Linked DNA regions of Arabidopsis thaliana. The protein of the gene in region 2 interacts with the protein of the main gene of each other region in a pairwise test. Each region holds a gene or a part of one and is shown on either strand. Other genes may lie near its edges. The genes, in order: AGL92 and TT16.

Region 1 (4,307 bases), on a different chromosome or scaffold from region 2:
CCTTTGGGGTGCTCTTTAGGGTCACATGAGCTAAGGATGCTACTCGGTGGTGCAAGGGAGTTATAACTCTTTCAAGATTTCTCCCATTCTTGAAAGAATCCAGAAAGCAAGATTCGCAAGTGTTCGGGAATATGCTTCAAGAAGCCCATGCATGACCAATGTCCTGAAAACAAAGAAGAAGGATTTAATATCGACAAATAATTGTATTGTAAAGTATGACATGTTTCAGAACATAAACTAAGAAAGATGTAATTAGTTCTGTTTATGTTTACATTGCCATATTGGATCTTTGTGGCATTAAGAAACGAGTGAGGAAGATTAGAGTGTTTGGATTTGATCTGATTTCTAAGCGCTTCTTTTCGGTTCAAGAGTGATTCACTGCGACCAATTTCAACAATGGTTCTCCTCGTATATATACTCAATGGTACTTCTCCTCCTATATATACAACTTCCGTCCTGAACTCTCTTCAAAATATTTAATCATATAAGTATTTAACCATAATGAAGGCTTGAAAAGTATTGATGTTTTTTGGAAACAAAATCCTATCTGATTTTGGCAGATCTATTTAGTTATGCATTTTAAGAACAAAAAGCTCGTAAAAAATAATTTGTGACCAAACAGAAATGACTTCATTGAAATAGAACTGACTTAAAGGTAAAACCTTCAACTCTTACAACAACTAATTGAAAAGGAAAAGCATAATTAAATACTGGTCTTTTAAAACAAACAAAACACAAAATGCACACTACTGAAACACATCACACATTGTTGTTGTTGTTGTTGTTGGTGGTGGTGGTGGTGGTGGAAGGCATGTGACCGGTGGAAGTAAGACCAACGGTTGGTGGCTGGTGGTAGTTGTAGTAGTTTCCGTCCATGAAAGGGATGTGTGCATGCTCTCCAACATAACCCGCTTATTCATAAGGATATTCTGTCAACATATTCATGAATGGATCATTTTGAAACGGATACTGATTTGGATCCAAACTCATATTCTGGTTCAAATTCATATCATAGTTTCCTTGTTGAATCTGATGATTAAAATCAACAGGAGCTTGGTATTGAACCGGCTCCTGTTGATTTTGATTCAAATTCATATTCTCAAACTGAAAATGATCACTAAAACCAGTAGGGACATAGGGCTGAACCGGCTCATACTGATTCTGATTCATAGGAAGACCGGCACCTGCAACACCAAGAGCTTGGTAGTGAACCGGCTCTTGTTGATTTTGATACAAATTCATATGCTGATATTGAACATTATCACTAAAAACAGTAGGGATATAAGGCTGAACCGGCTCATACTGCAACTGACTCATAGGAAGACCGCCACCCGCGACAGCAAGACTCTGGTAGTGAACGGGCTCATACTGATTCTGAGTCATAGGAAGACCGGCACCCGCAACAGCAAGAGCCTGGTAATGAACCGGCTCTTGTTGGTTTTGATTGAAGTTCATATTCTGATATTGAATATGATCACTAAAACCAGTAGGGACATAGGGCTGAACCGGCTCATACTGATTCTGGTTCACATTCATGTTATGAAATCCAGTAGGAACATTAACCGCAGCTTGATCTGCAACAACAGGAAGATTGGCACCCGCAACAGCAAACAGAGGAGGAACAGTTACCGCAGCTTGATCAGCAACAACAGGAAGATTGGCACCCGCAACAGCAAACAAAGGAGGAACAGTTACCGCAGCTTGATCTGCAACAACAGGAGGATTGGCACCCGCAACATCAAACAGAGGAGGAACAGAAGAAGAAGACTCACCATATTCTGTAAGGAACTTCTTCCTGGCATTAAGCTGATTAAGATATTGATCAGTAAAAAGACTTAAATCTTGAAGGTCCCTTGCACCATACTGTTGCTCACTCATCTTGCCTCCAACGCAATCAAACATAAAATGCTTAAGCTGAGTTTCTCGGTTTTCACGACGTAGACTCTCTAGTTTGTTTTGTTCTTTGGTGATTTGGTCCCGCAAGAAAGTCTCATGACTCATCATCGTCTTGGACCGTTCTGTCGCCGGCTTCTCCATGAACTCCGAAATCACCTCTTGAACACCTTCGGTTGACGGCCACACCGTTGGATTCTCGAACGGACTGTAGATTACCGCACATGCTTTGATGTCACAGAGAGTTGTCAGCTCGTGGAGTTTCTTCCTTATCCCTGCATTCCTCTTCCTGAATGTGGCTCTCCGAAAGTGTCTATCAGGTATGAGTACTAACTTAGTCTTCGTCCTCATTATCTTTATTTTTCTTTTCTTTGGTGTTTGTGTTTGTTTAGTTTCTTGGCCCAAGACTGTTTATATAGCAACGAAAAGGGTGATTTTTTACTCAGGGTGTGGCTTATCACGTTTCTGGACTCATTAATTTGTAGTTACAGCATTAAATCTTTTGGCTACTGTCTTATTAATTGATTAGGCCACTAATTAAAGCTATGACTAAGATTGGATTCTCTTTTCTCTTTACTAAATATAGTTTATCTTCGTATATTACTCACTTTTCTTTTAAGAGTAATATTAAGCTTTGATAAACTGTGAAAATTTCTAATATTTTAAGTGTTTTTCTTTTCTTTTCGAATAGAGTTTTACAGCTTAATTTCCATGTAAAATCATGAATATATAAAAGCTTAGGAACTTTGTTTATCTATAGTAAAATTATTTCGGGAAAGAATTAACGTGTCTTACGAAATATTTAGAACGAGCGAAAATTTTGAAATATGTAGACATTAAAGGAAGCCTACATAGAAAAAAGTTTGTAAACCAATATAATAAAATAATAAATATCATTAAAATTTCTATCATGTTTTAATATATAAAAAATGCTCTTTTATATGTATAAAAATTTATCTTTACAATAATAAAATATAAAAAATAATAATAAAGTAATAAAGAAATTTTTCCTTATAAAATATTAAAATCACAGATTTAGTTATATGAATTAAATTTTTAATAAAATATTTTTAAAAAATCTGCCATGGCCAGAAGGTCCATCTAATTTTGTTTAGTCAATAAGTTGATTTTAATTAAAAGGAAATAAGGGTAAAACTGTCTTTATACATTAATATAATAATATATATGGATTTTTTCCATCTTTTGACTTATACACTAATATGACTATTTATGACATTAAAACGTATCAATTAATGTACACGTGTAAAATCATGATTGGATATAAAAGAAAATCAGTTATTTTAGAGATAAATTATGAATTCATGCATATATTATACCTTTTGGAGCATATATTTTTCTTAATTTGGTTAAAATATTCATTGTACTGCCAGCTAATTATGAGCTGTAAATATTTGAAACTAGAAATTTGACAAGAGGTTTAGAGCACTTCCAATGGTTTTCACATATCCCAAAAAAGTATCCCAACTTTTAAAGTCTTAATATTTTTAATAATTTTAATTTAAAAATAAAAATGAACAATTAAAAAGAGACAATTGTAAAGTTCTAGTTAGTATACCCAAAGTTCTTATTTGAGAAATTTTCTCTTCTTTCTATCTTAAATTTTTTTTTAGTTATGATTATAATGGGGGAGTATCTTATTAAGACCCTCCAATAATTTTCATTTTTATTTATATGTCTAGTTAGGATGTTTGAACTATATATATAGGTCATGTTCAAAAGTTTAGTTAAAGATTTTTTAAATATGGTAAAATAATCTTTTGAAAAGTTATAGGTCCTTATTGAGTTATATGTATATGAAATTTTTTACAAGAACAGTTTTTTGGTAATCAAGATCCATTTGATCTCTATACTTGCTATATTGAAAACAATTATGGTCTGTTCGATTTTCTTTGAGTTAGTAAGCATAATTGGCCTTTAACAATATTTTGTGTTAGTATCGGATGGCACAGTTGAACTTAAATCCAACCCAAAAAACCTCATTAGTGTCGGGATGATAGACGAAGTGAAGCTTGCCATTTTGTTATACTTATTAGGTAGTATGTACAAACGGAAACTCATTAAGGCTTTGTGCTAATTTCAAATTATCCTTAAGCCCATAATATGTACATATCCAACCAAGATAGATCCCTTCTAAATGAAGACTTCTTATACTCCAATCTTGCTAGTGACTTAATGGAAGTGTGCAAAAGATAGTGGCTTGGTGAAAATACCTGTTAGTTGATCATTTGTCGAGATGACAGCTAATGCTTCATTCAAAGATGGAAGTCGGGATAGTAACCTAATTGAGATTCAAATTAGATTTCAAGAAAGTAGTAATTAAAATGATTCTAGTCTAGTATATTATAAATAGATTATGGTTTTGGACATTTTTGTTTTGAATATACCTTATTTTG
Region 2 (5,397 bases):
AAAACAAAGAAAGAAGCAGAGAGAAGAATTTTGGTTTACTTGGCTGGCAAGAAACAAACCTGAGATACCAATGTCGTAACCAAAGAGGAGACCACCCATTGCAGCTACAATGCAGGTTATCATGACAAACGCGGTTACACGACCTTCGTAGTCTCCTCCATGGCCACTCTCGTCTATAAATGCCCCTCCTGCCATGGATTTAGACTAATTAACCAAAATAACCGGCCCGCAGCTTCTTCTTTTTTGGGGCTCTAGATGATGATGATGGTTGTTCAAGCGATCACGAACTCAAATTTTCTCGTCGTAATGAAAACAAAAAAAAGAAGAGGAGGAAGAAGAAGAACAAGAAGAAGACGTTTGTTCTTCTGAAACGTCTTTCTTGCTTCTTGATCGTTCTTGCAGTCCTCTGTAAAAGTTATTGGAATGTTTTCAATCATGGCTTAGTTTTTTATAAGAGCTTTTTTCGGGATTATGATCCACTCTGTCTGAATCCACCAGACATTACAAAGATCCTCATGTTTTTTTTTGGCAGCTAATAATCTAAGAATAGTTTTGCGGCTTGTAATCTATAAGACATTTCCGGGATTTTTTATTTTTTATTTTTTTGCGGCTAATAGTCTATAAGACATTTGCCGGATTTTTTGTATTTCTTGCGGCTAATAGTCTAAGAATAGTTTTGCTTATCTCTTGCACTCTGTCTCCAGGTAATGGCCAATCTTCACTTCAAAACATCAAAGCAACAGCTTTTTTTTTTCACAAACATAACTTGGAGAACAAGGGTGTTTCATTACATAAACAGATGATCTTTAGTTGGAAAATATGTAATAATGATGATTAATTATATAACCAAGAACTCAAGTGCATTGTGCTTTAAACAAGGTTTCCATAGCCACACAAAAGAAGACACTGGCTTATCAAAATATAGGTAATAAAAGTTCATGAATCTGTCTCCATAAAGAAAGAGTAGATATCTATTGAGAATTGTATTAATCATTCTGGGCCGTTGGATCGTTTTGAAGATTAGGCTGAGCAAGCTGGAGATTGTAAGTAGGATCAATCTCAGAAGGAAGTGTAGCAAGCTGAAGAACGCTGTTTGGTTGTTGTTGCTGCTGCTCTAGAAACTGCTGATACTCCCCTGGTTTATAGCACTGAAGCTGCTCTATAAACTGTTGATACTCCCCTGGTTTGGTATCTATCCCAGCTTGTTGAAACTCCATCGCTGCACGATGCTCATGAAGCTGCGAGAAACATCGGTATATGTAGAAAAATGTTATACCAACGTAAATGTGAAAACGTATTGACATTCGCTAGTAACCAAACTCACCCAACGGTACATGTTGTTGTTATCTTCTTCTAGCATCCTCCTCTGATCATATGCATAACACGGTAATGATAATTAAACACGCGGTATAATCAGATTATTAGATGAAATTAGAGTTTAAAAAGAGTGATTAGAGAGTGACCTTTCTGCTTAGATTCTCCAACTGTTGCTGCATTAACTCATTCTTCAATATATTAATAGCAGAGATCAAACAAAAGTGTAACCAATATAGTTTTAAAAGAATATGTATAGATATGGACATATATTTGCATTACCTTACGCTCACGGACTTTGAGGACAGAATGTTCTAGCTGTCTCTCGAGTCCGTCAAGCTCATTAGGAGGAATGGAGGCTAAGTCATGTCCATGGAATGGACGCAGACGAAGCTCAAGGTTACATGTCTCTCTTCTTAGTAGTTCCATCTCATGGTGCAATTGCTCCTATACACAAAAATACAAATGAATATATCATATGTTTCTTAAGAAAATGTGTGATTTCCTTCGTTGTCAATTGGTAACACAAAGGAAAAAGTATGCGTGCATATATATACCTGGTCGTCATGATGATCAGGAAGTCGCAATCCGTTGGTATGCAAGTATCGGTCAATGAGTTGAGGCATCCTATTCAATATGAAAATGTGATCAGTTTAGTATCTTTAATGCTACACGTCAAGACTTCAATAATCACTGGAGGAACACAAAAATCAAAATAACTAATAATGTTCTGAAGGGTAGAATCCATATTTTGGCCTAAACATTGGTTAGGAGAAAACAAATTTAAAAGGTGTTTTACCCATTTTTTGTGTAATCAACGCTTAAACTATTAGCACACCCTTCTTCTCCTATTATGGCTATATGTGAATAATTTTCTTATTTATCTGGTTCATGACTTAGAACTAAAACTTATAATTGTACTAAATTGAATCATTAACATGAGACTTATACATATATATCGGTATGTATGTTTATGTTGTAAATATGACACATTAATATACTACATAAATTAGGGTCTTTTTTGTGACAAAAATAAGTAAAAAAAATTAGGGTCTTATTACGAAAAAGCTGGATCAAGAAATGTCAAATACAAATTAAATATAGAATTTGACCCATACGTATTAAATATGATAAGATACATGAAAATACAAATTAAATACTGCAAGAACAAAAATATTGGATCAAAGATTCTTAACTTCTGGGCCAAATGAAAATCCAAAAAACGACTCATGACACCTGCTACTTCAGAAACTAATGATGAAAACTGTCTGTTCTCAAGCACGAGTCATATATCTAGCTCATTTCCTCATTAATTAGATGGATACATACACATGTATGTATAGATCTCTGAAACCCTAATTCAAGAAAGAAGAAGAAGTTAACCTGTTCTGTTCGGAGCAGAACTCGGAAAGCTTTCCGGTGGCTGAGAAGACGATGAGACCGATGTGAGCGTCACAGAGAATAGAGAGCTCACGAGTCTTCTTTATAAGACCAGTTCTTCTCTTGGAGAAGGTCACTTGCCTCGCCGTCTGATTCTCTATCTTCTTTATCTCTATCTTCCCTCTACCCATCTCTCTCTTCTTCCTCTTATGAGTGGCTCCCTCTTCCTCCTGATTCAAGTGTATATGAAAGCTAGATCAACTTAAAAGAAACCCTAATTAACTAACCAAAAAAAACAAGAATCTGAAAACCCTAGAATTAGTTAATTACAATATTCATTTCAAGGATGTTGTTGATTCTTGAATCTTGATGTGTGAATTAGAGAGGAGATAGAGAGAGAAAAAGTGTGTGTGTGTGTGAAAGAGCTAGTGAGAAATATATATAGAGAGATAGAGGGAGAAAGAGAGTCTTTTTAAAGTACTTTTTTGTTGAGCTGTGTTCTTGGGGATCTGGAAACGGAGATTGAGGTTGGATGACACAATAAAGGTGAGAGATTAATGGGTAAGAATATGCTTAATTACACTTTCTAGTTTCTGTATAATTCTGTGTGTGGCGTGTTGTTTCAGCTCACCATTTTCTAATTTCATTTTCTCTTTCTTCTGCTTCTTGTATAAGGTTTTTTTGTCTTCTGTAAATTAGGCAGTGAAAATGGCTTTACCTATTTAATAATATCAATGTTTCTTAGGGTTTCAATTAAATGTTATTATACGTATAGTGGTCATAATTTACTTTCAGCATTATACACTTAGTGCGCATTAATTTGCACGTTTAACCTCTCTATATATTTATGTTCTCTTTATTTTTATTTCACAGAGAATTTTAAAAAAGTAGTAATAATTTTCTTAAAATATATTTTAATTCACTTTGCATTTTTTCTTTTAAGGTTATTTTAAATATAAAAAATAATTCGTTTAAATTTTGAGTAAGTTAACAAAGATGTCTTATACTCAATTTTCAAACTACCAAACACAAAAGACAATTTAAGCTACAAAACATTCAAATAATAACTTAAATACGAAATTTTATTAGACAAGACTTGTAATGGCAGTGTTTGGTAATTTCTTTAGCGAAGAAGATCCTTTTAGTAAAAAATTATAAAATATCGAACATTAGTTTCTTTGATCTGCCATGCATGACGTAATTCGGAGAAAAAACGAAAATGGAAACTTAATGAAATAATGTTATAAGGAAAACAAAGTTACCACAAAAGGAAAAAGGCAAAAGAGAGAAAGAGAGAGTAGCCAAATGGGAAAGGACAAAGTGTAACAATACTTGAAAGTGACTTTTTATTTTTTTTTACCTAACTCCTCTGCCTATCAAATATATGCATAAACATACAAGCCCCAAAATTTATTTTATTTCTATAGTAACATCAATGTACGTGTAATTTATTTAGATTATAGTATGTAATAAAGTATAGCTTCTTTTTCTTGTCAATTCGAGTCATAATTCAGTAAACAAGATTGTAAAGCGCAATCCATATTAGTTACACACTTACACTAATATTGTATATTTGAATTTCATTAATAAAATGGTTTCAAAAAACACGATAAGAAAAGAACAAGTGTCTCTTCATACAACAACATCACTACACAAAGCAAGGCCAATAAAAGTGTTGTGGGTAATAAGTTTACTTCCCAATATATAAATTTAAATAATAGGATGACATTTACATCTTTTTCTTATTATAATTTACTATATATTTGATGCTGAAACTCGAACACTGAAATTCTGAAAAGGAAATTGGCATCTAGATCCTTTGATTCATAGTTTCTAATTGCCATAAATATATATATATACTAGATAAGGCCCGCCTATTTAGGCGGGAGTACCTGAAATTTTTAAATACTTGAACGGGTCTAAACTTCAAAATCTAAAAAACTCGAACCAGAACCTGAATAGGTATCCAAACATATCTCAAATATAAATATATATTAGTTACATTTATACTTATATATAGAAAATATTAGGATTTTTTTGGATATATTAGTTATTTTTGTGTATTTTTAGAAATATTCAATCAAAACTACTCGTGTTGTTTTGGAAATTTTTGAAAATTTCAAATAATTTAATAGATTTGCACACAAAATTTGATATTTCAATATATAAATAAACTCGAACCCGAACCCGAACCCAAACTGAACCCGACCCGAAATCTTAAATTACCCGAACGGGTCATAAACTTCTAAACCCGAAAACCCGAACCCGAAATACCCGATCCGAATACCCAAACGCCTAGGCTTAATAATTAATAGAAAATCAGAAATCCACAAAAATATTTAGAAACCAAACATTGTTGAAAATATATTTTTTATATATGCCGTAATCTCGTAAGCTAATTTTACATCATGCAAATTAATATTAAATGAGTTAAAATTAATAAATGAAAATAATTGAAAAGTTAAATCTTATAAGCTAAGCTATTTTTCTCAAAATATTCTATTTTCACTTATAATTACATGAGTTAAACACATATTTGTTAATTTTCTTTTTTTGAATAAATGTTAATTGTTTATAAATATATAGACATATAAATTAGTATATGTAAATTTGTTTACTTTTTAAGATTTTCTATTTTTTTAGAGAATAAAAAAGTTAAATTTTGAATGACACATGTAAACATCTGATCGTTTGACTTGACAC

The links.
Region 1: the proteins of TT16 (region 2) and AGL92 interact in a two-hybrid assay, tested with the Arabidopsis thaliana proteins (one large-scale study listed by BioGRID).

Annotation. Positions count from the first base shown.
Region 1 is NC_003070.9:11,321,933-11,326,239, forward strand, and holds AGL92 (AGAMOUS-like 92), read right to left. Parts: upstream 2,245-4,307; coding exon 987-2,244; intron 897-986; coding exon 760-896; downstream 1-759. UniProt on the Arabidopsis thaliana protein: Putative transcription factor.
Region 2 is NC_003076.8:7,833,930-7,839,326, reverse strand, and holds TT16 (K-box region and MADS-box transcription factor family protein), read right to left. Parts: upstream 3,363-5,397; 5' UTR 3,034-3,362; coding exon 3,025-3,033; intron 2,925-3,024; coding exon 2,698-2,924; intron 1,942-2,697; coding exon 1,872-1,941; intron 1,762-1,871; coding exon 1,597-1,761; intron 1,506-1,596; coding exon 1,464-1,505; intron 1,367-1,463; coding exon 1,325-1,366; intron 1,239-1,324; coding exon 987-1,238; 3' UTR 772-986; downstream 1-771. Other genes in the region: STP11 (sugar transporter 11), read right to left, coding at 60-195. UniProt on the Arabidopsis thaliana protein: Transcription factor involved in the developmental regulation of the endothelium and in the accumulation of proanthocyanidins (PAs) or condensed tannins which give the seed its brown pigmentation after oxidation.